6 linked regions of the Kluyveromyces lactis genome follow. The main gene of each other region encodes a partner of the protein of the gene in region 5 in a complex. Links are inferred from orthologs where the notes say so. Each region holds a gene or a part of one and is shown on either strand. Other genes may lie near its edges. The genes, in order: EMC1, EMC5, EMC2, EMC6, EMC4 and EMC10.

Region 1 (6,701 bases), on a different chromosome or scaffold from region 5:
CTTTGGTAGAACATTTGCTAACAAATACTTTAACTATGTTTGAAAAACTAATAGATCATGACATCGAGGCGTTACTTTATTGCTGCATGTACAGGTTTACAAGGAAATCGAAAAGGTATAGGCAGCTTAGTTTCAATCCGTTAGTTCTTTGTAACTTCGCAATAAACAGCTTACTAAACATTGTGGACTTTCATAAGATAAAAGAACGGGTATTGCTTGAAGAGCAGTACAATGGAATAGACCTTTACCACTTGAGAATACTCAACTCCCTAACTGCATGTAATCTTCAATTTTCAATCGGATTTGGCACTTTTACCAACCAAGATCCGTTTATCAAAGAACTTAACAACCTTATAGCTAAGTTTCCACAGTCTAATTTTCGAGATGACATTAAGCTAAGTGAAATAAATCTTAGCGATGTTGTCAATGGTATCTTCTTGAACTTTAAAAATTATTTTTGGAGCTTTTTCAATATTTTCAAGCAGGGCGGCAACAGAGACAGAAATGATGATGCTATCTTAGTGTTTCCAGAACTTGATTACTGGTTGAAAAACTGGGAAGAGCTCTTATCTAAAGATAATGGTGGTATACTTTGGTTTTCTTATGATTTTTTCTACGTTATGATTTGTCGTTGTTTCATCATGGAGTTTTACCAGCAAACACTAGCACAAAATACCCAGTTTCTGGATTCAATTCTACTGACAATGAAACAATATTGCGTATCCTTACTACATGGGTTTTTGAAACTACCACCTTCACTGATAAAAGGAGCTCCAATAATAACAACAAACCAAGTGGTTTATGCATGCTTAACCTTATGCGATTTTCTACATAAGTTCAACGCTAAGGAAAGACAACAGACTTTGAACTTATGTACGAAGATTTATTGGCACCTAAATGCAATTGGAGAGAAACGTAACGAGGCAACAGAAAATGTTGCAGTAATAATCAAATCTCTAATAGACACTGGGAAAAAGAAAATGTTTTCGTCTCCGGACTCATCAAATTCTAAAACTTCGCCTAATGAATTTGCAAGAGTTGAAGGTCTTCAACAAACCAGTGAGATACCACAAACATTCAGCATTCCAGATGTGAACCGTTTCAATAGTTTCGAAGATTTCTTCCAGGACTTTTTCGAAAACTTGCAACCGACTGCACAACATCTGTTTTCGGATATATGATCTACATTTGTATCGAAGTAGTTATTCGGAGTAACTGCGTCTTTCCGAATTTGCATCTAATTAGATATTTATTAATAGTACTAAAGATAATATGAGCTTTGAAACATAGACGATATATCTAATAGGAGTAAATGGTACCAGTCATAGGATTCTTACATCCGTTACTATAACTCATCGTCAACAGCTTCTCTTTGAATATCAACAAGTTCGGTTTCGAAAATTAAGTCTGCATCTGGTGGGATTACGCTTCCAGCACCACGAGAACCGTACCCTAATTCACTTGGAATATGTAAGGTACGGCCCTCACCGATGCACATTCCTAAAATACCTTGATCCCATCCACTAATAACTTGACTGTAACCCAACTTAAATTGAATTGGTACTCCCCTATTATACGATGAGTCAAAAATCTCACCAGAGTCCCTCAATTTACCAGTGTAGTGCACAGAGACAACATCACCCTTAGATGCCTTGATCTTACAATCAACAGGCTCCTTGGTCACTCCAACAACTAATTCGGTCAACTTTTCTGCAAAAACTTGCAATACAAAGAACAATAAAACAGAAAGGCCAGTAGTGAACTTCATTTCGAAAGTTTAGTCAATTATAGTGATCTATTTGATGTAGAACTTTTAGAAAATCGAAGCTCATGGCTTCTTTCCCAACCCAAGACTGATCTATTGTTATAATTGGATCAAGAAGTACATTCACTTTTCTATTTAGATATAAAAATAATATGTGAGATTAGCCATTCAATAAAAAGATTAATTGAAAATAGGGTCTGCCTTTAACTTTTGAAGGTGACAAACAAAAGATTAAATACATATAAAATGCGATGCAAATGCAACTTTCAGATATTTTAGAATTATACATGTATTCAAATAGATGTAATATCAAGGTCTTTGACCAACCATTTCACTTTCAACTTGCGCTGGTCCACCATGGGTCTGAGGATGTAGCATAAGATGAATAAGCCCATAATGGTGAAAAGAACCTTACTCTTTTCAAAGCTTGCTCCAAGTTTGTCAAACTGAGAAGATGGTGAAACCCTTGTGCAGAAGATGTCATTACCGATGGAGCATATTATACTAGTGGATTCCAAGTTCGTCGGAACTGATATTAATTTCGATTTATCTGAAGGAAGAATCTGTCTAAGATGACTAACCACTGAAAAATCATTAATTGGTATGGTGGGTTCATAAACAGAAGCCATGAATTCCTCTTTGTCTTTCTTTGTCATATCAGACTCTGGTTTTCTTCTTGCGTTGACAACATATTTGGGGAGATATGTAATGGACCCATCATCTAATTGTAAAAGTATAGCTTTCGTAGTAATTCCAAATTTAGTTTTGGATAATGCAAGTGAATGTATGATCTGAGGGAAGTAATATGCGTTGCTAATCGTTGCCGGTTTCACAATATCGTCTAGCGGGTTCACTAAGCTCCCTGGAAGGGATCTCCTTTCATCAGGAACCAGCGATTCGTAAAACTCAACGACTACAAGCTTTTGTTCCGGTATTGGAGCTGAACTGAAATAACTGTATATGCACCAGTGTTCTCCTATCACAAGGTTTACTGGCAAGGTTAAGTCCACAAACTCCTCATGCTTAACAGTGTAAAGAGTCTGGCCAGTAACCGTGTCAAATATTTCTAGTAACAAGGAATTCTCTACAGAATTGCCCATCAAATAGCCTCCAATATTAGGATTGAGGTACTTGTATAATACAGTTCTGTTTCCTAGGATTGCACCTAAACCTGGAACGTGGCCTTTATCTCTGACAGCATGACCAACAATACGTTCATTCCCCCCTACGTTTCTCTGATAGGTCGGTAAGAGGGCATCCCCCTGAAGGGCATACCCTGTTACTTTCTGCTCTTCAAAATGGACGAAACTAATATTAGTATTTCCAATGTGGGAAGCGTTGAATATCTTGAAAGAACTGTTTTTGACATTAACTAGTTTGATAATAGGTGATTCACTGTTCGCATCAAATTGAAAACCGTCGGGAGCCTTATTTTCGGGTGTCAATCCGAGCGGTTGCTCTAAGAGATTAACAGAATAAATACTAGAACGCGTAACAATCGAAAGCTCGTTTTCACTCCTCAGGCGCAATTTCAAAATGTCCTTCAAATTTGACTGCAGACTCCACAATTTCTTTCCAGAGATGATGTCCAGAGATGTTATAATTCCTGACTTAGAAGCGACGACAAGCTGCTTTGCAAAACCAAATCGTACGTTTAGATCTCGCAGTGCTGAAGAATCATCTTCAGTTATCAAATCGGCAAACATTCTGCCCAGATTAAATCTTTTACGGATAAGATACGACTTTAGTCTTTCCCAATTACTTTGAACACGGAACTTATATGCGTCAATTAGGCTCAATTGCTGTTCGTGGAGCAGTTCATCCCTAACAAAGTCTAAATTATGATTTGTTTCATCAAGGACAGTATATGCGATAATATCAGAGTAGCCCTCATTTCTTTCCCAGTGGGCAGTCAGGGAATGATTTTCGTATCTAGTGTAATAATATTCTTTATTAGTTGTAGATATCAATACTTCCGCTACTGTGCTATCACTGCTCAGGCCAAAGTATTCTATCTTTCTGAAGGTCTCTGGAATTTTGACTACCACATCCCCCTCTGAAGAGGAAATATTAAAACGCAGTGTATTGTTATTCAAGGTAACAGATTGAATGTCTAGTTTCCGACATTCAACTTGGCCTGAATGAGTTGACTTAGGGAAACCTGTCAAACTATCCAAAACTTGACCAGTATTCAAGTGTATATTTCCATCCACAACTTTCATGGCAGCAACAGAGGCATCCTGAACGAACCTTTCAACTATATTTCCTGAAGCCGCATCCAAAAGTGAAATTACAGGGATGCCAGTGGGAGTCTCCCCTAAGACCACGAATGACGAGTCTGATTTGTCAATACATTTGATATCACCTAGGTTTTCGATTTGCCAATCCACGTGAAACGCTTCATCATTAAATACAGCCCCTGTGGATTTAAGCAGAAGTACCCACAACGTAAATATAAGGGTTAACATGATTTGATTCCGTTATGGCAAGATCGAAGGTCCAGTGTATAAACTTTAACTAATTCTTTACTTGGACACTAGTTTAGGCTTATTTTATTCGAAGGCTATTGTTGGTTTCTTTGAAATAATAATAATAATCGTAGTAAAAAATGGTTACTACAGTGGGAAATATGTCGTAGCTTTCGTAACACAAACAAGGAAACAAAAAAAAGGCAGTATGAGAGTCTCGATATAGCTATATATCGATTAAATTTGTACAACGATTCTTATATACAGTTTGAAATCATGAATTGAGTCAGTTATTTTTTCTGTTAGTGTAATACAAACGTGTATGATATTCAATTATGGCTTTCTCTCATCTTCGCTATTCTCTATGGAAGTAACATGCTCTGAATCTTTGAGTCTTTTCTGGTGTTCATAATAGTCTTCATTAAAAATGACCGAAGGAAAGAACTTAATGCTTAATGCGGTGTCTAATGCTAAATTTGTCCAAGGATTGTAAATAGCCCATATTTCAGTTAGTGGGATATCATTTGGTGATTCTGTATCATGATGCAAGAGAACTTTTCTAATTGCATATATGTCCTGCACTTCTTGATTTGTTCTGATAGCCCGTGCCGGAGCATGAGCCATCAATGTATGTATTCTCTGTCTATTGCGCTTGTTTTCTTCTTCTAATTTTACCAATTGAGAATTTATCTTATCGTTCTTCTTTTGACGTCTGAGATTGTTGAGAAAATCAGTCATATTCAGGTAGTATTCTAGTTTGTCTAAGAATTCAGAGAATGACTGTGGTTTATAATCCAACGGTCCGAACCATTTAGTTACCAAATTCTCGGCCTGCGCTTGTGCTCTCGCTACGGCGATACTTTGCTTCACCTCTGGTAAGTTAAGGGAAATTGACTGTCCTGATAATTCATCCTTGGCCTTGAATTTCGTTGAATCAACTCCCTCGTGATAGTATTTGACGATGTCATTGAAAAACTGCTTTTCACGAACTGATTTTGCTTCTTCTACCCAGGGATCGTATTTGAGAAGGGTCAATCTTGAAACCTCTAACATAGACTGCGAGAGTATTAGAGTCCCCGCTAATAAATAAGTAACACGTCTAATAGTTCTAAATCTCTCTGAATACCAAAAACCGGTACGTGTACCAACTCGAATATTGAAAGAATGTGTTCCCCCGAATTGAACAGGAATATGTCTAGTCATGTACATATCACCGTGTGTGGTACTGAATCTATTCAAACTAGGAAAATCGGCAATATCTCGTTTCACCCATTTCTTTCCCAATTTTCTAAACCTTTGCATTAGAAATAACCCAAGTCCTGTTTGAATTGCAACTAATGACCACAATCCTGTTGTGTTATCCGAACTAGGCACTAATGGTCCCCATAGTTTCAATCCCAGACTTGGTCTTGTATAAAACTTGGGGTCATTGCCAACAGGCTCAGAATTATCTGACTGAGTTCCGGATGTATATATAGCCATCTACTTCGCAATTCTGTCCTTGCTGCTTGTTCACTTTGTTTGAACCTTTAGTAATCCGATACGTGCTCTTCGAGTTGTCTTATGTTGGCCCTCGTCCCGGTTGGAAAATGTGATTGGCAACGTAGTTGGTGATACTTTTTCGGAGTTAAGTCACGTGATTAAATTTTATTGCTTGAAATAAAGATGAATTCAAACCCATTTAGAGACGATATGCAACACATGACGCCGAGAAGGAAGAATAGCATGAAGGGTTTTCATAAAGTATATGCAATACCGGATAAATCTATTATTCAAAGGTATACTACATATGTATAAAATATCGATACCAACTTTTGTTGATGTTCGAGGTTAGAACTTTTACAAATAAGAGGTAGTAAAATGGGTTACGAGATATGGGTTTATTTACAATTCATCTTGCTCTAGTTCAGAATCTTCTTCAGCCACTTCTTCAACTTCCTTCGCCTTTTGTGCTTCTTCTTCTTCTTGTTTCTTCTTCTCCACTTCAACTAAGTATTCTTCGTAAAGGGCAAGGCCATCAACACCGTGAGAACCGTTTTCCTTGATGAAGGCTAGGAAAGCTTCGGCAGTTCTTGGTCCCTCGAAAAGAATTGGTTCAGTTTCTTCACCGGCTGGCCACAAGTATAAGACTGGGAAACCTGGGATTTCGACAGATTGAACGTCATTGGCAGTAGCATCGATCTTGGCAATCAAGACCTTATCTTTCAATTCGTCATTTTCATGAGCAAATTCAGCCATGCTTTCATAAGTTGGTGCCAACTTCTTACAATGACCACACCATGGAGCGTAGTACTCAACTAAAACATCCTTCTTTGGATCACGGACAATTTCTTCATGGTTTTTACCAACAATCTTAAAGACAGAGTTTTCTTGGATTTCTGGAATTTCTTCACTTTTAACAATAGGTTCCGCCTTACCTTCCAAGAAATCTTCAACAAACTTGGTGATTTCTTCAGTGGCTAAAGTGA
Region 2 (4,856 bases), on a different chromosome or scaffold from region 5:
TAAATGGGGGATTATAGTTAGTTGGCAAGCTGAGGCTCATCATTATTTTCGTTTACGATGAAATTGTTCTGTTCTTGTTCGTCTTCTGAAGTATCATCTTCATTTGGATCGTCTTGTCGTTGTCTATTGAGGGCATTTATGAGCATGCTTATATCATTTGGATCCATATTTGGAAATCTTTCTCTTAATGACTGCATGGCCAGCTCTTGTTTTGAAAATCTTGGTCCAATCTTATGCAAGATCATCTTATTGAAAATTGGCTCTCTGACTACCATATCATATTGTAAATATGCGATAGCATGCACGATCAAAACCATCAGAATTTGTAACAACGAAAATCTGTAATTTATCACTAGTTGATATAAAATATCCGTAGTTGTTGGATTTTTTGGTATGTTTCTTTCAAAGCCATAAATCAAATTGATATACCATTTGTTATTTGAAGGAAATGAAAAATCATCCACAGTAGCCGTATATAGCTTCCCCCAGATATTCCAGGACAGGGGAATTCCAATGAAGAAAAGGAACGCAATCAATGTGAATTTGAAATAGTGATTTAATTTGCCAAAGATTTTGAAAACGCTATGTTTCAGAAGAAGTAGAAGTGGGATCTTCTCTGGCATTGATTCATCATACAAAGTTTGGAACGCGATTGGATGATTACAAATCGAACATACCATCCCTGCACCAGGTTTTGTAACATCGACATGTTTTGACTGTAGCCATTCGATCAAACATAATTGATGAATATATTTGATGGAGCCTTTGCACTTGCATGGATGGAACAACGGATTATCGGACGTTCCTTCCAGCATACAAATACGGCAAGTTGGAAAATTCCCCGCATGCTTATCTTCGTAGTTGTGGTCTCCACCATTCATACTGGATGACATTTTTTATCAATTAGTAAACCGGTACTGCGAAGTTCAAATTTGAAACTTGGATAAAAAAATCTTGTGTCTAAGAGGTCGTACTATGGTTTCAACTGTGAAAAATCAAACCTGCAAAGAGATGATTGGGCTGGTTATTATATACAAGAGAAGCAGGCTACTCTGAGCTGTTTAAGTTTCTCTATGCCATAAGAATTGATCGTTATGCGTATAAGTTTTCAAATTTGAATTGCATTGAAATTGTCTGTAAATTACAGACATAAAAAAAAAGAAGTTTAAAAATCTAGGATTCATTCATAAAATAGACAAAAATGGAAAGCCCTGTGGGGGGCTCGAACCCCCAACCTTGTGATTAAGAGTCACACGCGCTACCGATTGCGCCAACAAGGCTATGTAAATTTGTAGATTCTGACTCGCCGTATGGTCAACTACATTGTCCAAGTGTGATCATATATGCTCATTCCTTCCTTCCTTCCTTCTTTAAGTGATTTGGTAAAATGTTGTATCGAGTAAGAGATCTTAGAGTTGCATGTGCGTCATATTGTGTTAGATACGTTCATTTGTAATAGTATGTGAAGGTTTTGCTTTTCCTTTCGCATCATATTTCATCAACCGAATTTAATAACACAAAAGCAGTCAAGTTTCTTAAGATGTCAATTTATATAGCATAACGTAGAATTATAACATAGAATCGGCATAAATACCAACCATTATGCTAAGGCGTGATCCTACAGTTTTATCCTTGACTTCCGATGATATTTCCGAGCTACAAGAACATTTAGAAGAGTACAAGCTCCAACGCGAGATACAGACGCAACATCAAGATCTTTTGAAATCATCTGCAAAAATGAGTAGATTAGCAGAGATAGAAGGCATTTCTAACCCAAGTGCGACACGGAATGATATTTTATCACACTCATTGCATAAGATGACGCCACCTCAGCGATATAAACAGTCTGCATCATCAGATCCTCGATTCATTGAACAAAATAGTACACAGAGTACACAGGATCCTCCAAATCCCTTTTACACGTACAATCACAATGATAACTGACGTCCTAATGTGATTGGTGAAGTGCCTATATTGGCTATCGGCCCTGTATCTACTCCCGTTAGTTATTATTGCAAAGTCATTATATTATGTAATTCCCCAGTACATATTATATATATGTATGCGTTTAAGTTACCAATCTTTATCAACTCACAAACTGCGATGAAGGTATTCTTTGAACAGTTTCCTCTTAGCATGGATGTCAACAAATGAAGGAAGGTAGTTTATTTCCCCATAAGGATCATTGTTTATCACTACATCTGTACTGGACGCCTTGTTCAATTCGATAGGTTTAAGATACTCATCTGTCTCAATTATTCGTTCCTCCCCACGAATACTAAGGTACTTAAGCTTGGATTGACTGATAAATGTACCCAAAATAAAGAATAATAACCCGCATAGTGCCTCCAATTTTACGTCATCTGGTAAACCTGGAGTTTTAGCGTCTGGGTTCTCTAGAATGATATGTTTCACAATCTGATGAAATTCATAGCTGGACACACCAGAATGAATAATCTGTATCCACGCTATAAAGTAGAATGATTTGGAAAGTATTGACATTGTTGATTCCAAGATAAAACGGTGAATAGTAGTATTTAAGTAAAGTAACAAAGCCTATTTATGTTAGATCTGTCCAGTTGAACCTTATACTACCTATATTTTGTTTGGTATTCTTGAATAACCTTTCCGTTTTTTTTTTTTTCTGAGTGTTATAGAGTTTCCGACAAGAGAAACTATCTAGGTAAAAAAGAGAGATAGCATGCAGTACTGACACACAGCCGCATGATTGAGGAGAGCTTAGGTTATCGATAGCCATGTAATAGGTTTTATGTATTATGTTTAACACAATTCACCAAAAAAAAAAATAAACTGATTTAAATGCACTCGCAGGAATTTCATTTCGTAGGATCCCCAATAAGATTAGATTGGTGATGAAACAATGGGGTCTGCAGGGTGCGGAGGCGAATGAACTGTTTCATCCTGAGTGAATTCCTCAATTGGTTCAAGAACTTCATCATATTGTTGGGGTACTGGTTCTTGGTTTAATTTGGCTGCAGGATGGCTCTCAGCGTTATTTTTCGGTTCATCTTCGAAAACCGTTTCGCTTACTACACTCTCAAATAATGGCCCTAATTTCTCTTGGTTTAACCCAATTCTTGTAGTTAAATCGCTATAGTTTAGAATTCCAAGTTTGATGAGGCCTTTCAATTTAATGGTATAGATACAAAGCTCCTTCTCTGGATCTCCATCAACATCGACTAAGTTGACAGCGCCATAATTTACATCTTCATCAGCCACTCGATCTAGAGTTATTCCCAAAAATTTTCCAAGACAACTCTCAAGGTAGAGGAAAACTTTGTGGCAAATACCAGTTAGATCTTCGTTAGAGATAACTGAATATTCTTGCCTTAACGCCCTTATCCAATCGGAATCCTTTTCTGACAAATCGAGCTCAAACATTTTGAATGCAATGATAATATCTAACAATGGAGAGAGTATTACATGAAGCACATGGAATTTCTTGTCGTGTTGTATTTCAGGGTTAGAATCGATCTTTGAAGAAAGATTCAGCAATTCGACTAATACCGTTCTAATTTGATTCAGCGTAGTATGTGAAACAGCTATAGGTTCTTCATTATTTTTGATAACATCTCTCCAAGTTGCTAAATTCCAAGTAACTATTGAGGTGAAAAGCTTAAAATCTAGGACAGATATGGCATCCGAATCAATCTTTGGTAGTAATTCACTCAACGGCTTCAAGAATTTTTCAACAATGTCATCCAAAAGCGTTTCTGAAATTTCAATTGCGAACTCCTTACCCAAAATTACAAGTTTGTTAACATATTGCAGATATAATGTTGTTATTGAATTATCAGATTTTATGTCAAATGATTCCATAAACTTCTTGAATGATAATGTCACGTTAATCAGACATGACTTCCAATAACCAGTTACCTCTGGTATTTGAAGGGATGCCAAATATGGAATTAAACTCTTATAGGTTTTAGTAATGGCATTTGCGTTGCTCAAAACCACTGGAGAGCTTTCAAATCGTTTTGTTATTGTTTTATTGATATTAAAAATGACATCCTTTGATTCACTGGAATTCCATTCTTCTGTGTTTAATAGCTGTATTACATTTAGTAGTTGAGTATATATCTGATCAGAATCAAGATTCATTTTCTTGAAAAGATCTTCTAACTCTGGAAGAATTAACTGTGTCACGGCTTGTCTGTCCTGGCCTTTGTTGTACTGTATGCCGCCTGTGCATAAGCCGCCCAACACAGTGGCATAAAATAGGACATTGTTATCAGTTTCTGGTAGGAACAATTTGATATCACCCAGATCATTGGAAAAATCATCTGCATCAGCATGAATTGTGCTGCCATCGAAATTTCCCTCTTCATAGAGTAGTTTTGATATAGTTTCAATTAAGTTGTAAAACTTGGGGGATAAAAATTCCGCCGCTTGCTGTAAGAGTTTGATTTTGTCCGGTGGTACTTTTGCATAACCTTCTAAATTACTAGTGGAGTTGATATGATTTAACAATGAATTGTGTAATAATCTCATTAACACACCCACCTTAACAAACTGCTCTTCCGTTACCGAAATTACCGGAACCTTAAACCTTTCATTGTTTATTAGAAACTCTTCCGTTTTTTCAGAAACAATGTTTGCCAAGAATTTGGTAACCTCGTTCAAGAATTTAACGTCCCTTGACGAAGAAGATACTTTTACTTCATGATCAAAAAAGATCAAGCTAATGATGTCTATTATTTCATGGTCATCCAGATAACCCAACCCATTAATCGACGAAAGTACTTGAACTGAGGTTAATCTTACTTGAATATCGATGTCTCTGCCAGCTATTTCTAACATTCGATCTTTGAATCTTTCGAAAAATTGTCTTAGGG
Region 3 (5,587 bases), on a different chromosome or scaffold from region 5:
TTTGTTTTCACTTTTATCTCTGAATTTCATACAGGGAAAGCAAAGAAAAGGGATTGGATCGGGGTTCGACAGTCACGTGACTAAAAAAGGTCTCCTTTCCCAGGCGCTGGACAGCGTCAGTATGAGTTTTTTTTATGGCCAAAACCTCATTAGATACTGATTTGAGGTTTCAAGATGAACCACAACCAGACAAATATTGACTGAGATACTGGAGGTTCTCATGCCAGCGGGAAATTTAGTACAGGATTGCTAAAAGAAAACGTTGTTTCAGTCAAGGGTTTTATGTATATAAAGGTTTGTAATTGGTAGTTTTAACGCTTGGTACAACTGTTTTGCAGAAAAACTCGGTGCAGTGATAAGAGTGAGTAAAGATAAGCTCTCTTCCTTGGTGTAGTTTTCGAGTTTGTATTTGTGTACCACTGATGGGAGAGTTACCATATAAGATCCAGGAATTGAAATTGAGAAGAATCGAAGAATTGAATAATAAATTAAGAAATGAGCTAGCAAGGGAAAGAATGACTGCGTCAAATGCTTGTTTGTCCATAATCGACTATACCTCAACCCATAAGGATTACGCTGTTCCAGAAGTATGGGGTTACCCAATGGTTGGTGAAAACCCATATAATAATACTATGAGGAAGAACAATTTTGCTAGATCTCACGAGGAAACGAGTGCCTGTTGTACCATAATGTGATGATAAAAATATTGCTGCCGTATACTCTCTATGCTTATTAGTTACATATATATTTAGATAAAACGAAATGCGAATGCAACAATATTAGATCTTATTCTTTCAATTGACACATACGGAGGGTAAACGATTCCCTCACTTCATCCCAATTGTTTCTCCTCTTTGTTCAACGTTACTTTGTTCATTTTCAAAGATGGATCGATATTACCGTTCTCGTCAGTGCATCCACAGTCGTAATCTTCTAAGATTGTGTTACAATCGTACCTTGGTTTTTCAAGATGATCGTTCACTAGATTATGAATATGACAGCCCCATAAAGCAGCAGTGGTTCTACTGGCTACTTGTGGTGGGTATTTCTTCAACATCTTGACGAAATGGTAAGAACATTCGCCACATGGATATAACTCCGCATATAGGTAAAGAAATTCACGTAGTTTCGTTTTCTCTTGCTCTGTAGGCTCGTCGGGAAATCTGGCTAAAAGAGTGTGGAAATATTTCCATGAAGCCCGCCCCAAAGCCTTTTTCGCCTCCTGATCAGGCATCTTCGGCATAATCGTACCTGATGCATCATCGTTCTTCGCGTTCGCACTTAGTCCTCCAAACAGATCGGATTTGGTACCACCCAACGATGGTGACCCCTCAATAGGTAGCTGGCTATTAGAAAATGTAAACCATAGCAAGCCTATCATTAGAAGCGTAGTTATTGTAACGATCCGCTGCTTATGCAGTCCTACCTTTAGCTTGATTGACATATCCGTTGTTCAATCTGATCAAGGAAAGTATGCTTTTAGAAATAATAGAGAATAGCAGAGGGATAACAACTCTGTAAGGTGTATGTACGGCTCCTCGGTAGATAACTTTGTTCCCATATTGTTACACTAAGGTGTCAATCACGTATTAATACATTCCTTACTACTTTTACGATCTTCCAATATTTTTCGACTGTAACCTTTTTTCTATTGATATTGAGATTTATAAGAATCAATATTCCAGCATGCAAGACATCTCTTAATTGAAGATTTGTGGTGGAAAGGAAACGTTGCAAAAAGGACTACGATCATTGTTTCAGCCCCTGATAAAACTTCAAACTAATTAATATTCCCACTGGATTACAAGCGTTGAACGTCATTTTGTTCTCACGCTAATAGCCAAGAAAATTTGCATAGGGATTAATTTCACTAGTTTTATTATACGACAGGAATCTGAGCGATCAGGGGAAATACACATGCCAAAATGAGTGATAAGAGTCAGCCTCAGAACAATGCCAGGAACAGAAGATCTCTTGGGAGCGGTATTCCTATGATACAGGTTAACCAGGCTCGTGAAATGTTTCAGGCTACGGTAAGGGCGCGTCACCCCGGCAATCCGCAGCAGCCAAGAGAAACCGAGATACAAAGTTCTATGATGCGCACGACCAATACTACTGTCGGTGGTACCACCACGAACTCAAGTTTCCAAGATACACAGTCGGTTACAGTAGCCACTAGCATGCCCAAACCGAGCTCCAAGCGCTCTCACGAACATGATCATAAGCACACTCATACACACCCACATAGATCGAATAATCCGAATAATCCAAATTGTGGCCATTGCGGTACAGTCATTGTTCCATCCCCTGTAGCCACAATACCAGCGAAAGATGACCCATCTGTAAGTGTAGGTGATTGGACTATCACCACGACGAAGAGGCCTATTCTTTCTAGTGATGAGATCGACGATTGGACTGAGAAATTGAAGTTCCCAATCCCAGAAATGATTTTTGGTCATTCCAGCGTTGAATTGAAGAACACCAAGACTCATTGGTGCATACGATTCAATCCGTTCCATGCACTTAGTCAAGTAAAACTTGGGGATTCTGGGTTAAGAGTGTCATATTCCGAGAAATGGATCAATTCCAAACTTAAGAATAGTCAAGTGACAAACACAGAGGAAGGATTACAATTCGGAAAACATTGGGATTGGTCCTATACGACTTTATACAATGGGACTGTGTCAGAAGATAGTGAATACAAGTTTGTTGTGGATAACCAGTATCAGCTTCCAATAGAAAAATTAACAAGAAGAGATCCCATTTTATTCTATGATGATTTCATTCTATTTGAAGATGAATTGGCAGACAACGGTATCAGTATGCTTTCGATAAAACTTAGGGTAATGGCAGAGAGACTTCTTTTATTATGCAGATTCTTCCTAAGAGTCGATGAGGTCTTGTTTAAAATCATTGATACAAGAATATATGTCGAATTCAATGAGGACCTTGTTGTACGGGAATGGAAATATATGGAGGATGATTACAAGACAGTATTGAATAAATGTAGATTAAATTCAAACGATCCTAAGAAATCTTTGAGAGACAGCAACTGGGTTGCGTCTGTATTACCTTTGAAGGAGCGCGTATGTGAAGTATTGAGGAAAAAAGAAGATATAGAAGAAGTTGTCGAATAAGCACTCACCGCTACTGTCGAATTGACAGCACTTTTGGAAAATTCAAGAAAGAGTTGATTTGCTCATTCATGAATCTACCTATTTAATTATGTTACCCAAAAGGAATAATATACAAATCTCGTAATACATGTGATAATATTATATACACACTATTCAAGTTTCTGAATCCAAAAGGTATCTGGATACGTTAGTGATTTCTCTGTTATCATTATTTTGCTGAAGTTCTTGCAATTTTCTTACAGCTAATTGAGTTAATTCAGGTTTTTTATTCAGTTTCTGAGATGTCTTCAATACAATACCCCAACCTTTCACGTAGGCTTCTGCCAACTCAACAGATCTCAACGCATTTGATAAACTTGATTGCAAAGCAGCTTCAGGGTCAGAATCTGATTGAGACTTCAAGTAATGCAAATAAGCTAATTGACCAAATGCTTCATAACTGAACGGCACCCCAATTATGACTTCTTCCATGCAATATATTGCTTGACGTAGGTCCCCAGCCTCCTGGTATTCTTGCGAAAGTAACGACCATATTTCTGCATCTAGAGGAAACTTCTCAACCAGATCCAGTAGTTCTTTTACCCATTTTTCTTTACTCATCGAAGGTCTCTCTATCGCAAGTAGCCTTTTCTTCATCTGTACGTAGTCTTCTGAATCAGTAGCTATTTCCAGCTGATTCTTGATCAAATCCTCGATATATTTCTTAGCCGCATCATCGGATCGAGTGACCTGTATTAACATAGAGTGCATCACATGAATTCTTGGAGAATCGTCACCTAGACGATCTGTCACAGTTTTGTACAATGTTTCAGCCTCTGTGTCTTCACCACGAACAAGACAAAGATAAAACAATAATTCGACCATTGAGAAATAACTAATTTCGTCAAGCCCATTTAACCCAGCATCTATCAAAAGTTTCGTTTCCTTATAAGCCAAATCAATTTCTTTAGGTGGCAGAATGGCCCATGCGCCAGTCTTATGGATTGCCAGTAATTTGTTCTTAAGTAAATCCATGATATGAACAAAGTTAGATTTCGACCCTAAGATGTATGTGAGATTCGAGCACAATTTCAACACAGTAAATTACTCACTAAATTCCACGAGCAGTAATTGTATTGAAGGTATTCAAACATTTAACACCACCATACGTATCTCACCCATGTTATACCCTGTAATATGTCTCTTACAGAACCGATGCTTAAACAATCACAGAGCCAAATGAATCGTTGGAGCTAAAGCACGTGACACATGCTCCGTTTCGACATGTATTTTCATATCACCATAAACGACGAAAATTTTTCAGGAATCAAGGCCTCAGTATCTGATTGCCACACGCGAAGAGTTGAAGTTGAACTTCTAAGAGATGAGATGAACTTCTTCCATATACATGATTCAAGAAGGCGTTAATGACCCCGTTTTACAGTCCAATACAGGATCAGTTCGAACTTACTTTTAAAAGTTTTTGTGTTTTCCAGACTTGAAGAACGTCAAAGACACGGTGGTAGCAGAAACAAGTGACTAGAGATTAGTAACAGTAGCCGAAGATGTCAATCAATATTTGCAGAGACAACAATGACCCTTTCTACCGTTATAAAATGCCTCCAATTCAGGCTAAGATTGAAGGTAGAGGTAATGGTATCAAAACTGTTGTTATGAATACCATGGATGTTGCCCGTGCTTTAAACAGACCAGCTCCATACATCATCAAATATTTCGGGTTTGAATTGGGTGCCCAAACTGCTATCAATGTTGAAAATGATCGTTACATTGTCAATGGTGCTCATCAACCAGCCAAATTACAGGACGTATTGGATGGTTTCATCACTAAGTTTGTCCTTTGTGGATCCTGTAAGAATCCTGAAACTGAAATTGTTATCACTAAAGATGGTGATTTGGTTAGAGACTGTAAAGCTTGTGGTAAGAGAACCCCTATGGATTTGAGACATAAGTTGTCCTCGTTCGTCTTAAAGAACCCTCCTGACAGTATGAACGGTTCCAAGAAAAAGAAGAAGGCTGCCACTGCGTCTGCTAATGTCAGAGGTGGTGGTCTTTCTATTAGTGATATCGCTCAAGGTAAATCCCAAGCTGAAGCTGGTGACGATGCCGAAGAAAACGATTCCGATGATGATGAATTGGCCAGACAAATTAATGCCGCTGCCTCTAACTTGGCTACCATTGAAGTCAAGGATGAGGACTGGGCCGTTGATATGTCTGAAGAAGCCATCAGAGCTCGTGCGAAAGAATTACAAGGTGAAGCTGACAAAGAAACTGGCGAATTCTCCAAGTTGGAAGAATTTGGTGAATGGGTACTACATGAAGAAGAACTACCTACCGATATTGAATTATACAAAAAGATTGCAGAACTCGAGCTTCTGGAAGATCCAAAGGTTGCTGCAGTTCTGGCCCAAGTTCTTTTCGATGAAGATATCGTATCGGATATCTCTGAACAT
Region 4 (4,811 bases), on a different chromosome or scaffold from region 5:
GCTCCTTTCAACTATGGTTATCCTGGGTTTAATCAATTTGGAATGCCCATGTTTTTACCTCCTGTGCTGTCTCCACCACCACAACCATTCCCAGGTATGAATGGATCCAACGATAACAGTCAAGATGTCGAGACTACTGATGGTGTTACCAAAGAGGCTTCCGCTTCTAGAAAGAACCAACACGAGTCCGAATTATCAGAGACATCAGGTGAAACAGGTAATCATCCAACGATGATGCCACATCCAATGGCTCCTTATCCATTCCCCAGTCCATATCCTTTCATGTATGCTCCAATCAAAGAAGATGACACAGAAAATAATAAGGATAGTGAAACTGTTAAACCTCCTTTGAGCCCTACTTTCTTGCCACCAAATCCTTACATGTTCATGCCTCCATCTATGCAACCACGTCCAGGTAACTTACAAGACGCTCCAAGCTCCCCTCCATCCGCAGACAATGGTTCCGGTTCTAACAAGAGAAATAACGATTCTAAATACTCTGGCAAAAATAAATCAAATCCATACCTGCACGCAGGTAAGGCTCAATATTCACAATTCTCTCCGCCACCAAGTAGGGCAGGTATGGCAGTGCCCCCAAACACTTTGCAAAGTTCTTCAGGTTCAGGTGCAAACAAACAGGGTCGCCAAGGTAAAAATGCTCGCCAGAATAACAAACAGCCTATCGTTAGATCCCCATTATTGGAGGAATTCAGGAACAATTCTTCCAATAAAGTTTACAAACTTAGCGATATTTACGGCTCCGCTTTAGAGTTCTGTAAAGATCAACATGGTTCCAGATTTATCCAACAGGAATTGGCAACAGCTTCTGATGCTGATAAGGAAGTAATCTTCAATGAGATTAGAGACCAATGTATACCATTATCTCATGACGTGTTCGGTAACTATGTCATTCAAAAATTCTTTGAACATGGTACAAAAACACAAAGGGAGGTATTAGTGGATCAATTCAGAGGCAAAATGGAGAACTTGTCGTTAGAAATGTATGCTTGCCGTGTTATACAAAAGGCATTTGAATTCCTAAATGAAGATCAAAAGGTTGATCTCGTATCTGAACTTTCCCATTGTGTTTTAGCTATGATCAAAGACCAGAATGGTAACCATGTTATACAAAAAGCCATCGAGTGTATTCCGATTGAAAAATTACCATTTATTCTCCAAAGTTTAAGAGGACAAATCTATCATTTATCAACGCATTCTTACGGTTGCCGTGTAGTTCAAAGACTATTGGAATTTGGAACTCTAAAGGACCAAGATGATATTTTGAATGACTTGGATGAATTCATCCCATTCTTGATCCAGGATCAATACGGTAACTACGTAATTCAGCATATTTTACAGCATGGAACTGAAGATACGAGCAGTCACATAGGAATGAGTAAACAAAATATCATCGATATCATTCGTAAGAATGTTGTTGAATATTCAAAACACAAATTTGCCTCCAATGTTGTTGAAAAGTCAGTAGTTTACGGATCCAAAAACCAGATAAGACAGATTTTGGATCAAATTCTACCAAGAGACGAAGAGCACGCCGCTGATTTGGAAGATAATGCACCATTGATTCTAATGATGCGGGATCAATACGCGAACTACGTTGTTCAAAAGCTCGTGGGTGTCGCAACTGGTGAAGATGAGAGGTTGATTGTTATTTCCATCAGATCCTATTTGGATAAATCCAATAAAAATAACACTTTGGGTAACAGGCATTTGGCTAGTGTTGAAAAGTTAGCAACTTTGGTGGAAAAAATTCAGATATAGATGTATGTCAGCCTCAACTTGGGAAAGCAAGACAAAAAAAATTGTTCTGCCTCGAATATTTGCATTTGATAACCACGCTTTCTTTCCCTAATAACTGGTTCACTTTCTAAATCATTCTATTGATGAAGATTGCCATTTCTTACGTTTTGTATCCCCGTGATATCTCTCACGAAGATCTTAATATCTTCTAAAATCTGTTGTTGAGAACAGATTACTACCTAATAAATTAATATCCTTTAAATGTACATATTGTTTATCATCATCCTGTTTATAATACATGCAAATATTTATCTCTGCTATAAGTTTTAATGACCATAATATTATAGTACTTCTAGAATCCTAATGGTGATATCGTTCAGATGAAATCAACCCGTTAATGCAAAATGTGTCATATGCGTTACCTGACCAAAGTGAACGCTAACGTCCAAGTCATGACAAACCCAGCTAGCTCGCGGAATAGATTTTTAACCCATATTTTATGCACTGGATTAGTAAAATATAGACTAGGCTTGAATTTGCAAAACCACGCTATAAATATGAGGTTCACCAGGATATAAACAGCAAAAAACATTCCAAAACCTGCAAAAGATTGAAGTTGCAATATCCCAGCACTAAGTCCTGCTGTCAGCATTGTAGAATCCTGTATCCGTAGTAGTTTGTTGTTGTTGAAACTTCCACTTTTGGAAGACTTTAGGTCGGTGAAGCGATAACTCATTTTCCAATGCTGTTATCTCGTAGTTATGATTGCAATTGGTTGCAATAAGCCAAGACTAGAATAAAAGTGATTTATTATGATAAATGCAGCACTTAAGGATCAATCGAATCGCAGATTGAAAAGCTCTGTTTCTAACGGTGGTTCTATTCATTTAATTGAAGATGGAGATCTGTTATTGTCGGTTTGATGCTGATGTAATTGTTACCCGCCTTAAAGAGTCGAACCTTTTCTTTCACGAAACTTGAGAAACGTTTGACAAACTCATCGCAGCTCATCGCATCAACCATATCTACGTTGGCAGTTGGTGTAACTAGGTATTGTTCACCAGCTAATCAACTATAACTTTCATTGTTCAATAAAACATCTTTGTTCGAAATATCTGCGTTTACTTGATACGATAAAGAGGGAAGATGTCCACGGAATTAGAAGAATTAGTGTCATTTTTGCATTCAGACCAGCCTGCCGTCAGACAGATTGCTCTTGATAATCTGGTTGGCTTCTCAACTGGAGCAAGTGCTGTCATTTTCAAATGTAATAATTACAAAGCTATAGAGGATCTAAAAGTTCTAGCTAAAGATAAGTCAAAAGTTATCGTTCAACAATCCACTACGATTTTAGCGAATTTATGTGATGATGTTACTATGAGAAAGTTGATCGTCAAGGATACTGAATTCCTACAGTACTTATCGTGGAAAATCTGTGATTTAGCTAACGCAAGTGCGGATATCATGTGTATTTTATTGTCTAATCTCGCCAAGGAAGACAATATTACCGAATTGTTTTCGTTTGTTAAGAAGGAAGACGATGGTATTCCATTAAACATAGAAGTCTTTAAAAGCAACAAAGTAATGGATTGCTTAATGGATTGTTTTGTGAAGGGTTACGATAGAAAGTTGAACAGATATGCCACTTATGACTACTTAGCTTATTTCTTTGCCGACATTTCGAGATTTAAGATTGGTAGAGAGTATTTCATTGAACAGCAGGAGTATGACGGCGTCATCCCAATTTCTAAACTATTGGTATTCACTGAAAAGTATGATGCTAAAACCAGAAGAGAAGGTGTGGCTTATACCATCAAGAATTCGTTATTTGATTCCGAAAAGCATGAAAACCTTTTGACTAATGAGGAAATCAATCTTTTACCTTATATTCTTCTACCGATTGCATCAGCTAAAGACTCCGAAATTGATGAAGAAGATATGTTCAATCTACCGGATGAATTGCAACTCTTACCTGCCGACAAAGAGAGAGATCCTATTCCTGAAATCATATGTGTGCATTTAGAAAGTATTTTATTGCTTTGTACCACTAAAGCCGGCAGAGAATACTTAAGATCGAAATCAGTATACCCATTGGTCAGAGAGTTACATAAAAATATTGGAAATGACGATATCGGTGAATTATCTCATAGAATTGTTAACATGTTGATGAGAGGTGAGCCGGAGAATCAAGTGATAGAAGAAATCGTGGCCAAATCTGCGGAAGATGGCGAAATAGCCGAGATAGAAGAAGAAGAAGAAGAAGAAGAGTCCGACGATGATGACGATGCTATCGTCGAAGTTTTATAAATGATAACTTCCTATAGATATCTTGTTTTCAAATAACATATATTTATTTTAAGCGTACTTATTGTTAATAAACTGACTATATCAATATGCTATTTCCTGCCCCTTCCAATTGGACCCAGGTGATATATATCAATTATCACTACATGTATATCTCCAGAGGTTTGAAAACGAGGAAATTATGTTAACTACTTACTCAATTCGAGGAATTTACCGTTCAGTTTAACAAGTTTCTTGACAAAAACCTTCATTCTTTCTTTATTGTCAGGATGTCTACCGACCTTTTCTTTCAATTGTCTGATTAATTGTTTCAAAGTCAACTGCTTGCCCTCAATTGCATTGATTATATCGTCTTCCGTTAACAAATCATCTGCCGAGTGATCAGACTTTGCCCTCTTATTGTCCATAGATTCTTGTGGCTGAGACTCTGCTGGACGTTTCTTCAAGTTTGGATTCCAGGCTCCTGCAGGGAAGTTCGATAATACTGATTTCTCACCAGTTAGTACAACGATATTTTGATTAATGCTTTTTACTACTAATTTTGGTGGACCTGATGGTGTGTCAGAAGCTTTCTTCTTTGGTGAGGATCTCCGACTTTGCTTTTCATTATCCTTCTCGGAATCTTTCTTATCCGAATCAGCTTGCTCTTCATCTTCCTCAGAGTGTGATAGATATGGGTTCTCTTCTGCATCAGATTCATATAAAGCACCCAGATCTGTTTTAAGGAGGGCTTTCTTGACTTTTTCACC
Region 5 (3,046 bases):
CAACACATAATGCCATTGAAATTTTATATCAAAAGAAAATAGATACTCTGGGCATCATATGGAAAGTCATTAAGTTAACCTAATGTGAACAACGTACGGAAGCAACCTGAAGTCAATCACTCACGATGGCAAAAAGAAGCAGAAAAGATTCTAAAGGAGGTATCGTTAAGAGATATAAAGTTGTCAAAAGCACTCTAGATCCTAACACTTCAGGAATCTACATAACGTGTGCAAGAAACAAAGAGAAGGCCGCTGCCTCTGAAATTCTTTCTATTTTTGAAGAAAAGGTAGAAGAGTACTATTCTGATGAGCTCAATGCCATGAACTCGGCCTCTCCTGATGGCTCAGGATCCATCGAAATCGAAAGTAAAGAACCCGTCACAACAGAGTCGAAGAAAGAGATTTCAATTGAAGAGGAACTTCAGCAAGAGTTGGAAGGACTAAAAAACCATAAAACTACCATAGTCGATACCAAAAAAAACAAACCAATATTGGAGCAGCTCGACCTTCAGACTGAGTGTCTAGTCTTTGTGAAGACCCGAAAACCGATTGTTCCAGAAAAGTTTGTTCATAGAATCATCAGAGATCTAGCCGATCCACATGACTTGAGGAAAAGAACAAGATTTGTGCAGAAACTAACACCAATTACCGATTCATGTCATGCCAGTATGGAAGAATTGGCAAAACTTTGTGAACGAGTACTACCACAGCACTTCCACAAAGAGGAGATGGTGCCAGTAAAATTTGCAGTAGAGATCAACAAACGAAACTTTAGTACTATGGATAAAATGGAAATGATTAAATATATTGCTGGATTCGTAGGAAAGCAAGGTTCATTAGAACATAAAGTTGATTTGAAGAATTATGATAAGCTTGTGCTGTTGCAATGCTTTAAAAACAACATCGGAATGTGTGTTGTAGATAAAGATTATCGGACTGATTACAAGAAATATAACGTTCAGGAATTGTTCGAAATGAAGCATAAAAATAAAGAAACTACTCCTACTACTGCAGAGTCTGCCCCGGCTTCTACCCAAAGCAATACTAGCAAATAGACCCTTTTGTATAATGTATTAATTTCGCTACATTCAATTAAATACTTAACGTACGGTATAAATACTCCGTTGGTTGTTGCCAAGCAAGCCAATCACTTGACGTAGTTGGGAACAATCCCATTGAATTCAACTTATGCAAACCTATTCCCATGAGGATTAATTGGTATATCACGTACATAATCATGGCTGCAACTACAGGCGGGGTTACATCATTATCTTTGTTGATTAAATGTTGAAATTTTGACTTAACTCCTAAGATACTTTTGATGGGATTTGAGACCAACATCACAGCAGTCATTATAGGAATAATTTGCAAGCTGTTACCAGACATATATGACATAATTATATTCATGGGAACAGATTTGAGAGGCTCAGAAGATATCTGCCATGCCCGTTCTGCAGTGAGTTTGGCTATACGATTTTGAGCGTCATGATCTATCACCTTAGGGGGCTTCTGTCCTTCGATCTCTAGTTTCTTTATTCCAAACGGATCCGGCAATTTACCACCATTGACACTATTTCGCCTCATCACTTTGTCAACTTTCAAATCTTTCGCCCATTGTGGGATATCTTCTGACATAATTCCCTCTTGAAGCTTGTCTATTAGTCCAATTTCACTCTTGAGGAAATCATAAATCTTTACCATTGGTGAATTCTTACGTATTTGAAACTATCAATTCATGATTTCTTATTTTTAATAACATTAATTAATGTCAGTAAAAAATCACTGTTTTGAAAGAGAATAAAGTGATTAAACAAAAAACAGCCACGTTCGAAGCAGTTACAGGAGCAGTTCAGTATTATTTAGATTATTGTTAACTCACAATATTAAAATAAAAGTCTGAAGTTACAATGGTTGACATATATATATATATATACATGAAAAGGGTTAAGGAAAATATACAGTGCGACAAATAATTTCAACTAATTGGAATTCTGATGTGAATGAATTTGAGCGTATTTTTAAACTTGCACAAGACAGGAGTAAGCATCATATTAGAATCAAAGCCAATATGACACCAAAAAGCTGTAGAAAAAATGATATGGTAATAATTATGGCAGTTTTTTTCCACCAAAGAATACTCTGTAAATCGTTATCGTCAGGCTCGTCAATCACATCGACATTATCAACATTCTCCACGGTATATTCTGCCTCGGCTGGACCTGGAAAAGGTTCTTCCTGGATTGAAGATTGATACTCGTAATTTTTAATTTGTATCTCCTTCTCCATCGGTGTGCTTAGAATTGATTCAATTTGTCTATGCTTTTTAAGGCTTATGCAGAAACTTTACTAAGTCTCAAAAGAAGTAACCTCGAACTGCATACGTCTTTTATATTGAACACAATTATACAATGTCTCAAGGATAATTTCAAAACCATCATAGTCTCTTGAAGAGCAAAATATCATCCTAGGAGGGGAAGTTGTGGTTAAAGTTATGCTCGTTGGTAATTCTGTCATTTTTTTTAAGAAACGGAATTAAAGACAGACAAACACTGCCTACGTGATTATGGCGCATTTTTGGGCAAATAATAATTTAGGTCCAAAGAGTTTCAAAGGTAACGGTATACTCACATCACATTTAATTCCTTGTTTGCATGTTTATAGGAGCTTTTCTTCTGTTTATATGTGCCTCATGACTACATGCAGGTACGACTCTGGAAAGCACAATTAATATTTTCATCAAAATTATATCTTCTGTCGCCAGGACAAAGCCGTTAGGAACTAAAAGTAAATCACTAAAAGATGATCATGCTCTCTTACAATGATTCTTTTCCTGGAGAGTGACTGGCCATAGTAATTTATTGTATTCGCGATGGATAACCATAAAGTCCTTATACTGCTTCCCGAATCCTTGGAGATACAGGAGCACATAGCATTCATATCAACTATATTCCAAAAGCAATATGACGAAACAGAATCTATTGCACGAGATGTGCAATGGAAGACTAAGTACTACGAGACCACTTTAGATCTATACATCGATACATAC
Region 6 (5,358 bases), on a different chromosome or scaffold from region 5:
AGGACAAAAGATTGGGATATCGTTCTTATAAGCCCAGTATAGAACACTGGATTCATCGTTGATCTCTTTACCTAACCTACGGATCAACTTGGAAGGAGTCCATACCGGAGAGTCTTGATCGAAGTTGCTATCCAAACAGTCTTTACCCTGAGATTCGACGTAGTTTTCTTGTTCTTCAAGCATCTTGTCCAAGATTGGAACGATCCATTCTTCAAACTTACAATAGTTGTCGTTAGGAACCAGCAAATTACCAATACGGTTCATACCTTGGTCACGTAACCCTTTACCAGGTAAAGAAAACTCACCAAGGTAAGTGTCAGCCAAACACTTGATGATATCTTCTTCAACACCGCCTGCAGTTGCAACAATGGCATCGACCATCTTATTCTGAACCAAGAAACGTAAAGTCTCACGCAAGCCAGAAGAAATCAAATTCGAAGTGTAACCCATAAAGATAGTAGTCTTTTGGTACCCATCATTGTCAAAAGAACCCTTGCGGTCATGTTCTTCCAACTTGTCACGATGTTCACCTCTCCAGGATCTCATCTCATCGATAATATCGCAGGCTTTTCCCAAAGAAGACGCCTGGAAGCCCATAGTAGCCATCGATTTAATTAAATCCTTAGAACGCATGTTGCGTGATTCTGGTTTGCTGTAATCAATACCTTCGACCTTAACAAAATTATCAGGCACTGGAACAGATTGCTTCAACACAGCATCGCTTAAGATGTCAGGTAATTTACCGTCAATGTTGGACATCTTTTCGTTGTAAGTTAGTAGGTAAGTTGGTAGAGCACTTCTTTCTGAACAATGAAGCTCCAATCGCCTAAGTATAATGTGGTGAATCAGGTTATAGATCAGAGTTAATACCGTCTTGTTCTTACAGTTGTAAAGTTCATGCGGTGAGAAGTGAAAAATTCCTAAAAGGTAAAGCCTTTTAGTTTTATAAATCTCTAATCTGGTGACGAGATGACAAGTCAAAGAAACGATGCTGCACCACGATTAAACACATGACCTACTTTTTGGGTTTGCCTTGGTTCTTTGTGTGAAACTATGGTATGACTCTATTGTTCGTTGGTAGAGGCAATGCTAATGTTTGCTATCTCCTTTCTGGTGAAGTGTACCGTATCAGCTTAAGGCACCAGAAACTTTCCAGGAACAATGCATATGTGCAGGACAACTTCCAGTTTATCGATTCCAAGATCAGGTCACTTCCTATGTTGGCCGATGTGGTTGTTTCCATGAGGTTAGAAGAGGTGTTTGTCGATACAAAATGGATTAATGTGTTGAAAGATGAGAATATCTTAATCGATGATAGTCATATGCAATGCATAGTCATGCCTTTATTGCATGCCAAGGATAGTACATGTGAACAGTTGGACCATTTCAATCAAATCTATCGATGCTCATTGAATGATGCTATTACTTGGGAATTCAAGCCAAAGTGGTTGTATCAATCTAGTGATTATTGTAGGAATTGTACACATAACTCGCTGAAGGGAAGAGATATTGAGTACTGTTTTTTACATGATCCGGAGCTGATTATCGAAACGCTGTTTGCAGGACGCCAAGTGCCAGAAGAATTTCTTGATGACATTCTGCAGTATCTCCAATCAAGTGACAGTATTACACAGAGGCTCTATGCTGCTCAGCGTTTTGTGAAAGATGATTTGTCAACGCTAATGACGCTAAGAGATGTGACCTGTTTCTTGACCTGGTCCCGCAATACAAGGAGCGTCAAGGCTACGATAATAGATGTTGATCAAAAACCAGCAAACAAACTGCGGCATTGGCAGAGTACTGAATCCGCTCTTGCATCTTTCCCAGGAAAGAAGAAGGCTCATTTCAACCACCAATGATTGTACTTTTACTCTATATGTATACATGAAGCTATCTTACACTCAAAGTAAACCTTATGTGAATCCTTAGGATCTCTCAATATTATACTGATTTGACCATCCTTCCCGAGTCCATTGTGACAGATTTCAAGATCTGTGCCAGCATACACATGAGACGTATTCTTGTATTTTATGCTGGAGACTTGTCTTCCAAAACATTGTTCGAAATAGTTGATCACCAATTGAACCAAAAACGGGCCCTGTACTATAACATCACGGTATCCCTCTACGTTGCGCGAATAGTCCCTATCCCAATGTATTCTATGAGGATTCGAACTGATCGAACTGTAAACCATGACATCGATATCTTCCAAATTGATGATTTCTCGGGTACTGTAATCTTCGGACTTGGTTATTACTTTATCTGAGACTTTTTGATTAGTATATATCAACGTTCTTAACTCTTTAACATATAGGTACCCCTTTTCGTCTCGTATAGTTCTCTTCAACCCTACGAAATGGTCTTTGTTCAGTTCTTTGATGAATTTAAGTTCTTCTTGACAATTGTACCAGCCATCTGTCAGTGATTTCTTGAACTCAATTGATCCCTGAACCCACATGCGACGCCGAAAGGGCACTTCACGTTTCAATATAGCACCAGGAGTCTGGTACGAGTAGTATCCGTCTTCGCTGAGGGCAGCTGTTACTGGATGGAAGAACAATAAATGTGAACCTGAAAGCGATATATCGTTTGATACTTTTGCTTTTGGCAAGATAGATGTAACCAAAGTCTGATACCTCTGTACCGTCACCGGATTGATGTAATCACTGATATGCCACTGCATTGCCGCGAAAACTAACAGCTATGTGGATATGGTTGGCTTTTAAGGATTCCCTTTTTTTTCTATACTGTTTGATGTGAGGTTTACGATTGAATGCCCAACAGTTTTAAATTCATTCATTACTTGTTTATGACGATATACAGGTAAATAAATTAAATAAGATGTGAAGTGGGATACAGTTCTATCGAGTTGGTAGTAAACACTACTGTGCATGATATCGTGAAGCTGATTGGCAGTCTAATTGACTGGAAAGTCAAGTGCAAAGTGAATTATCGTAACAGCAACTACAGTGTTACAGTGCAAATGAGAAAAGCATGATCGATTGTTGATAAGAAGTGAGTAATGGAGTTGCTTAGTTTCGATCCTTTTAAAAAGCCAACATTGGTAAATCTTTCACTTCAGTCTTTCCATCGAGCACTCAATTAATAAACTCAAGGCAAATTGCTCATCAAAATAATCCATGTCACTAATTGTAATACATTTCGTATTCGTAGAGTTAATTGAATGTTTCAACCACTCCTATCCTATCCAAGCAATAAAAGTCAGTCGTCTGGTCATTTCTTTGTCTTCTTGAACGTATATATACGTAGCAAGATGGTAAAACATGAAATTATTTCTGTGATCCACTGGATAAAAAGACATAGGCGAGTAGCCCTATGACAACGTACTTCCAGTTTTTCTGAAGAAACGTTTTGTTCTCTACAACATCTTCTTCAAATGCAGCGGTCCCTGTATCCTTTCTCTGAGCTTTTTTCTTTGCCTCGTAAGTCAGAGTTCTTTTCTTCAACTTGATACTTTCCGGTATGGGACCATTTCCAACCTCCTTTATCAGTGGTACGATGCCATCAATACTATCATCTGCATGAATCGACATACGAACTAGTTTATCATCAAGTACCACCAGCTCCAGTTCGTATGACAATGGTTGCTTTATATGGATGAAAGAGAAACACTCATCGTAATAATCTTGAAAAGTCCCACAAACTTTATATTCACCGTCTGTAATTCGATTGGCTGTCACAGCCAGGTTAATACCTACCTCATCACCAGCTTCGAAAGTTGCCAGGCTGTACCTTTCATTCAAATTGTTCAATAAGTAAAGATCACCAGTACCTTGTAGAGATGCCACTACCGCACGCAAGTGAAACAGAAGTATTAGTAACAATTGAATCATTTTTAGCATAGCTAATTATTTGAAGATAAATCCAACCAGTTTTCCGCTGTGTTATATGATGGAAACACCAGTCTATGCTGTGAGATTCATCCTTTTTATTATTACATTTATTCAGTTTAAGGTTTAAAATTGGATTAATTCGATTAATTGGATTCTTATATTACAAACGTTTAAGTTTACTTAGTGGAAAGTACAAAAATGATATACGGAGCTATTATTTGTTGGCGCATTGTTGTCAATTCGTCAGAGGTTGATTGTAGCTAGTGTATCTGCCGCCTTATATGATATTTTTACCAGTTACGTCGGTGGTGTTTGCTATCTCATGGATTTATTCAGGTGTCTCAGCATTCAATCCATATAGCTCTACGCCTTATTCGCTAAAATACGTTGATGAGCAAGAGTTCCTAAGTGTAATAGATAATGAGACATTGCTCCAAGAAGGACGGCTTTTCCGCCCCTACGAAGGGTCCGATGTTTTGTGTTACCAAAGGAACACTTCGTCGTTGATTCAACATCATGAAGAAGATACTTTTAATTCTGAAGGAGCTCTCATTGAAGCAGTTAACATGGTTAATGCGATCTTGGCTCCAAACCCTATTGAAATGAATACAGTGCCTATTTCTTACTGGACTTATATTATATCCTCTGGTGAGACGAGGACTGTTGTGCAAAAAGGTTATTTTGGCGAAACGTACCTTTTAGGGAACTCATCTAACTACAACTCAACTATTGATTATCACTTTGCTAAGAGTAAAACTGGTAGAGTGTATCTTAGCGAAACTTTGGTAGATGGTTGCACTTGTGATCTTACACATAAACCAAGAGAGGTAGAAATACAATACATCTGCCCTAAACGTCCACTATCGAGGCCTTTCCATCTTGAAGTTAGAGAAATACAATCCTGCAAGTACCAATTGAGACTGTTTCTACCACAGTTATGTGAACTTAGCTCATTCAATCCGTTGCTTGGTCAATTATCTGAACACAACATAATATGCCATAGAAGCGGCAGCAAATTGAGTCCTGCCCTTGATATATTCAACAGGTATTCGGCTACTGTACTTGATCATGGCATATACCTATTAAAACCTAAAAATAGTGCGAAGGATAGGCGTCAATTGATGTATCACGCTGCTGAACCACTGGATTCTCAAACTACCCTCTTTGAGCTCACAGTAGAAGAAAGGTTTATTGGAGACTTCATATCTAGTCTTAAGAAATTGATTGGTTCGGACTTTATACAATCACCCACCGGGAAATCGATCAAACCTGGTGATCTATTTCTATGGAGAGCGCCTGTAGTAGATGAAACGGGAAATCTGCTATTTTTAATTGACTTGGAATTGAATTCAGCCTCGGAAGCGATTGGGAAGGTGAATAATGATGCCTCCCTTTTAAATGAATTGCCGATTCATAACATGGTATATTTTGACTCAATGACAGTTAATCAAACGGATGAGACATCAAGCAACTCTTTACCCGAGAAAAGCACTGGTCTAGTTCC

The links.
Region 1: the proteins of EMC4 (region 5) and EMC1 are in contact, whole or in part, in a cryo-EM structure (PDB 6WB9), measured with the Saccharomyces cerevisiae proteins. The link is inferred for Kluyveromyces lactis from reciprocal best matches to the Saccharomyces cerevisiae genes EMC4 and EMC1. Residues at the interface, in NP_011283.1 of Saccharomyces cerevisiae: Gly163, Ile165, Ala168, Lys169, Gly170, Asp171, Leu173, Glu176, Arg177, Ile178, Ala179, His180, Tyr181, Asn182, Asn183, Gly184, Leu185, Gln186, Trp187, Phe188, Ser189, Asp190; in NP_009884.1 of Saccharomyces cerevisiae: Ser381, Ile383, Arg384, Leu385, Asn386, Ser424, His425, Ile426, Phe427, Val428, Thr429, Glu430, His431, Tyr463, Lys465, Arg466, Leu471, Leu474, Gly475, Thr477, Asp480, Lys481, Val483, Tyr485, Leu488, Tyr489, Pro490, Asn491, Leu492, Thr512.
Region 2: EMC4 (region 5) and EMC5 share a complex: the UniProt entries of both Saccharomyces cerevisiae proteins name them as parts of the ER membrane protein complex. The link is inferred for Kluyveromyces lactis from reciprocal best matches to the Saccharomyces cerevisiae genes EMC4 and EMC5.
Region 3: the proteins of EMC4 (region 5) and EMC2 are in contact, whole or in part, in a cryo-EM structure (PDB 6WB9), measured with the Saccharomyces cerevisiae proteins. The link is inferred for Kluyveromyces lactis from reciprocal best matches to the Saccharomyces cerevisiae genes EMC4 and EMC2. Residues at the interface, in NP_011283.1 of Saccharomyces cerevisiae: Gln4, Glu5, Pro6, Tyr7, Trp9, Ala10, Lys11, His12, Leu13, Leu14, Thr16, Tyr18, Ile19, Glu20, Tyr22, Asn23, Ile24, Gln25, Ser27, Thr29, Leu30, Pro31, Ser32, Pro33, Pro34, Gly35, Phe36; in NP_012621.1 of Saccharomyces cerevisiae: Glu146, Leu149, Lys150, Val153, Thr156, Asp157, Trp166, Tyr173, Phe174, Glu175, Met176, Gly177, Gln178, Phe179, Glu180, Lys181, Tyr184, Cys185, Glu205, Tyr208, Tyr209, Leu212, Arg213, Leu241, Lys242, Ala245, Leu246, Ile249, Glu253, Lys280.
Region 4: EMC4 (region 5) and EMC6 share a complex: the UniProt entries of both Saccharomyces cerevisiae proteins name them as parts of the ER membrane protein complex. The link is inferred for Kluyveromyces lactis from reciprocal best matches to the Saccharomyces cerevisiae genes EMC4 and EMC6.
Region 6: EMC4 (region 5) and EMC10 share a complex: the UniProt entries of both Saccharomyces cerevisiae proteins name them as parts of the ER membrane protein complex. The link is inferred for Kluyveromyces lactis from reciprocal best matches to the Saccharomyces cerevisiae genes EMC4 and EMC10.

The regions. Positions count from the first base shown.
Region 1 is NC_006039.1:77,593-84,293, forward strand, and holds EMC1 (Emc1p), read right to left. Parts: upstream 4,234-6,701; coding exon 2,059-4,233; downstream 1-2,058. Other genes in the region: URC2 (Urc2p), read left to right, coding at 1-1,181; peptidylprolyl isomerase family protein FPR2, read right to left, coding at 1,346-1,768; MGR1 (Mgr1p), read right to left, coding at 4,567-5,715; protein disulfide isomerase PDI1, read right to left, coding at 6,118-6,701. UniProt on the Saccharomyces cerevisiae protein: Part of the endoplasmic reticulum membrane protein complex (EMC) that enables the energy-independent insertion into endoplasmic reticulum membranes of newly synthesized membrane proteins.
Region 2 is NC_006042.1:2,569,553-2,574,408, forward strand, and holds EMC5 (Emc5p), read right to left. Parts: upstream 2,503-4,856; coding exon 2,092-2,502; downstream 1-2,091. Other genes in the region: KLLA0_F27709g (uncharacterized protein), read right to left, coding at 18-893; anaphase promoting complex subunit CDC26, read left to right, coding at 1,603-1,944; cohesin subunit IRR1, read right to left, coding at 2,863-4,856. UniProt on the Saccharomyces cerevisiae protein: Part of the endoplasmic reticulum membrane protein complex (EMC) that enables the energy-independent insertion into endoplasmic reticulum membranes of newly synthesized membrane proteins.
Region 3 is NC_006041.1:552,977-558,563, reverse strand, and holds EMC2 (Emc2p), read right to left. Parts: upstream 4,152-5,587; coding exon 3,291-4,151; downstream 1-3,290. Other genes in the region: STE18 (Ste18p), read left to right, coding at 423-695; ERV2 (flavin-linked sulfhydryl oxidase), read right to left, coding at 833-1,444; TIP41 (Tip41p), read left to right, coding at 1,926-3,137; TIF5 (translation initiation factor eIF5), read left to right, coding at 4,682-5,587. UniProt on the Saccharomyces cerevisiae protein: Part of the endoplasmic reticulum membrane protein complex (EMC) that enables the energy-independent insertion into endoplasmic reticulum membranes of newly synthesized membrane proteins.
Region 4 is NC_006042.1:1,426,091-1,430,901, reverse strand, and holds EMC6 (Emc6p), read right to left. Parts: upstream 2,495-4,811; coding exon 2,177-2,494; downstream 1-2,176. Other genes in the region: mRNA-binding protein PUF3, read left to right, coding at 1-1,779; HGH1 (Hgh1p), read left to right, coding at 2,905-4,065; transcription factor IIF subunit TFG1, read right to left, coding at 4,251-4,811. UniProt on the Saccharomyces cerevisiae protein: Part of the endoplasmic reticulum membrane protein complex (EMC) that enables the energy-independent insertion into endoplasmic reticulum membranes of newly synthesized membrane proteins.
Region 5 is NC_006037.1:99,167-102,212, forward strand, and holds EMC4 (chaperone EMC4), read right to left. Parts: upstream 1,702-3,046; coding exon 1,093-1,701; downstream 1-1,092. Other genes in the region: TAN1 (putative tRNA acetyltransferase), read left to right, coding at 126-1,055; IRC6 (Irc6p), read left to right, coding at 2,870-3,046. UniProt on the Saccharomyces cerevisiae protein: Part of the endoplasmic reticulum membrane protein complex (EMC) that enables the energy-independent insertion into endoplasmic reticulum membranes of newly synthesized membrane proteins.
Region 6 is NC_006041.1:1,122,898-1,128,255, reverse strand, and holds EMC10 (Emc10p), read right to left. Parts: upstream 3,864-5,358; coding exon 3,291-3,863; downstream 1-3,290. Other genes in the region: DYS1 (deoxyhypusine synthase), read right to left, coding at 1-759; IPK1 (inositol pentakisphosphate 2-kinase), read left to right, coding at 1,059-1,859; hydroxyacyl-thioester dehydratase HTD2, read right to left, coding at 1,868-2,683; YOS9 (Yos9p), read left to right, coding at 4,136-5,358. UniProt on the Saccharomyces cerevisiae protein: Part of the endoplasmic reticulum membrane protein complex (EMC) that enables the energy-independent insertion into endoplasmic reticulum membranes of newly synthesized membrane proteins.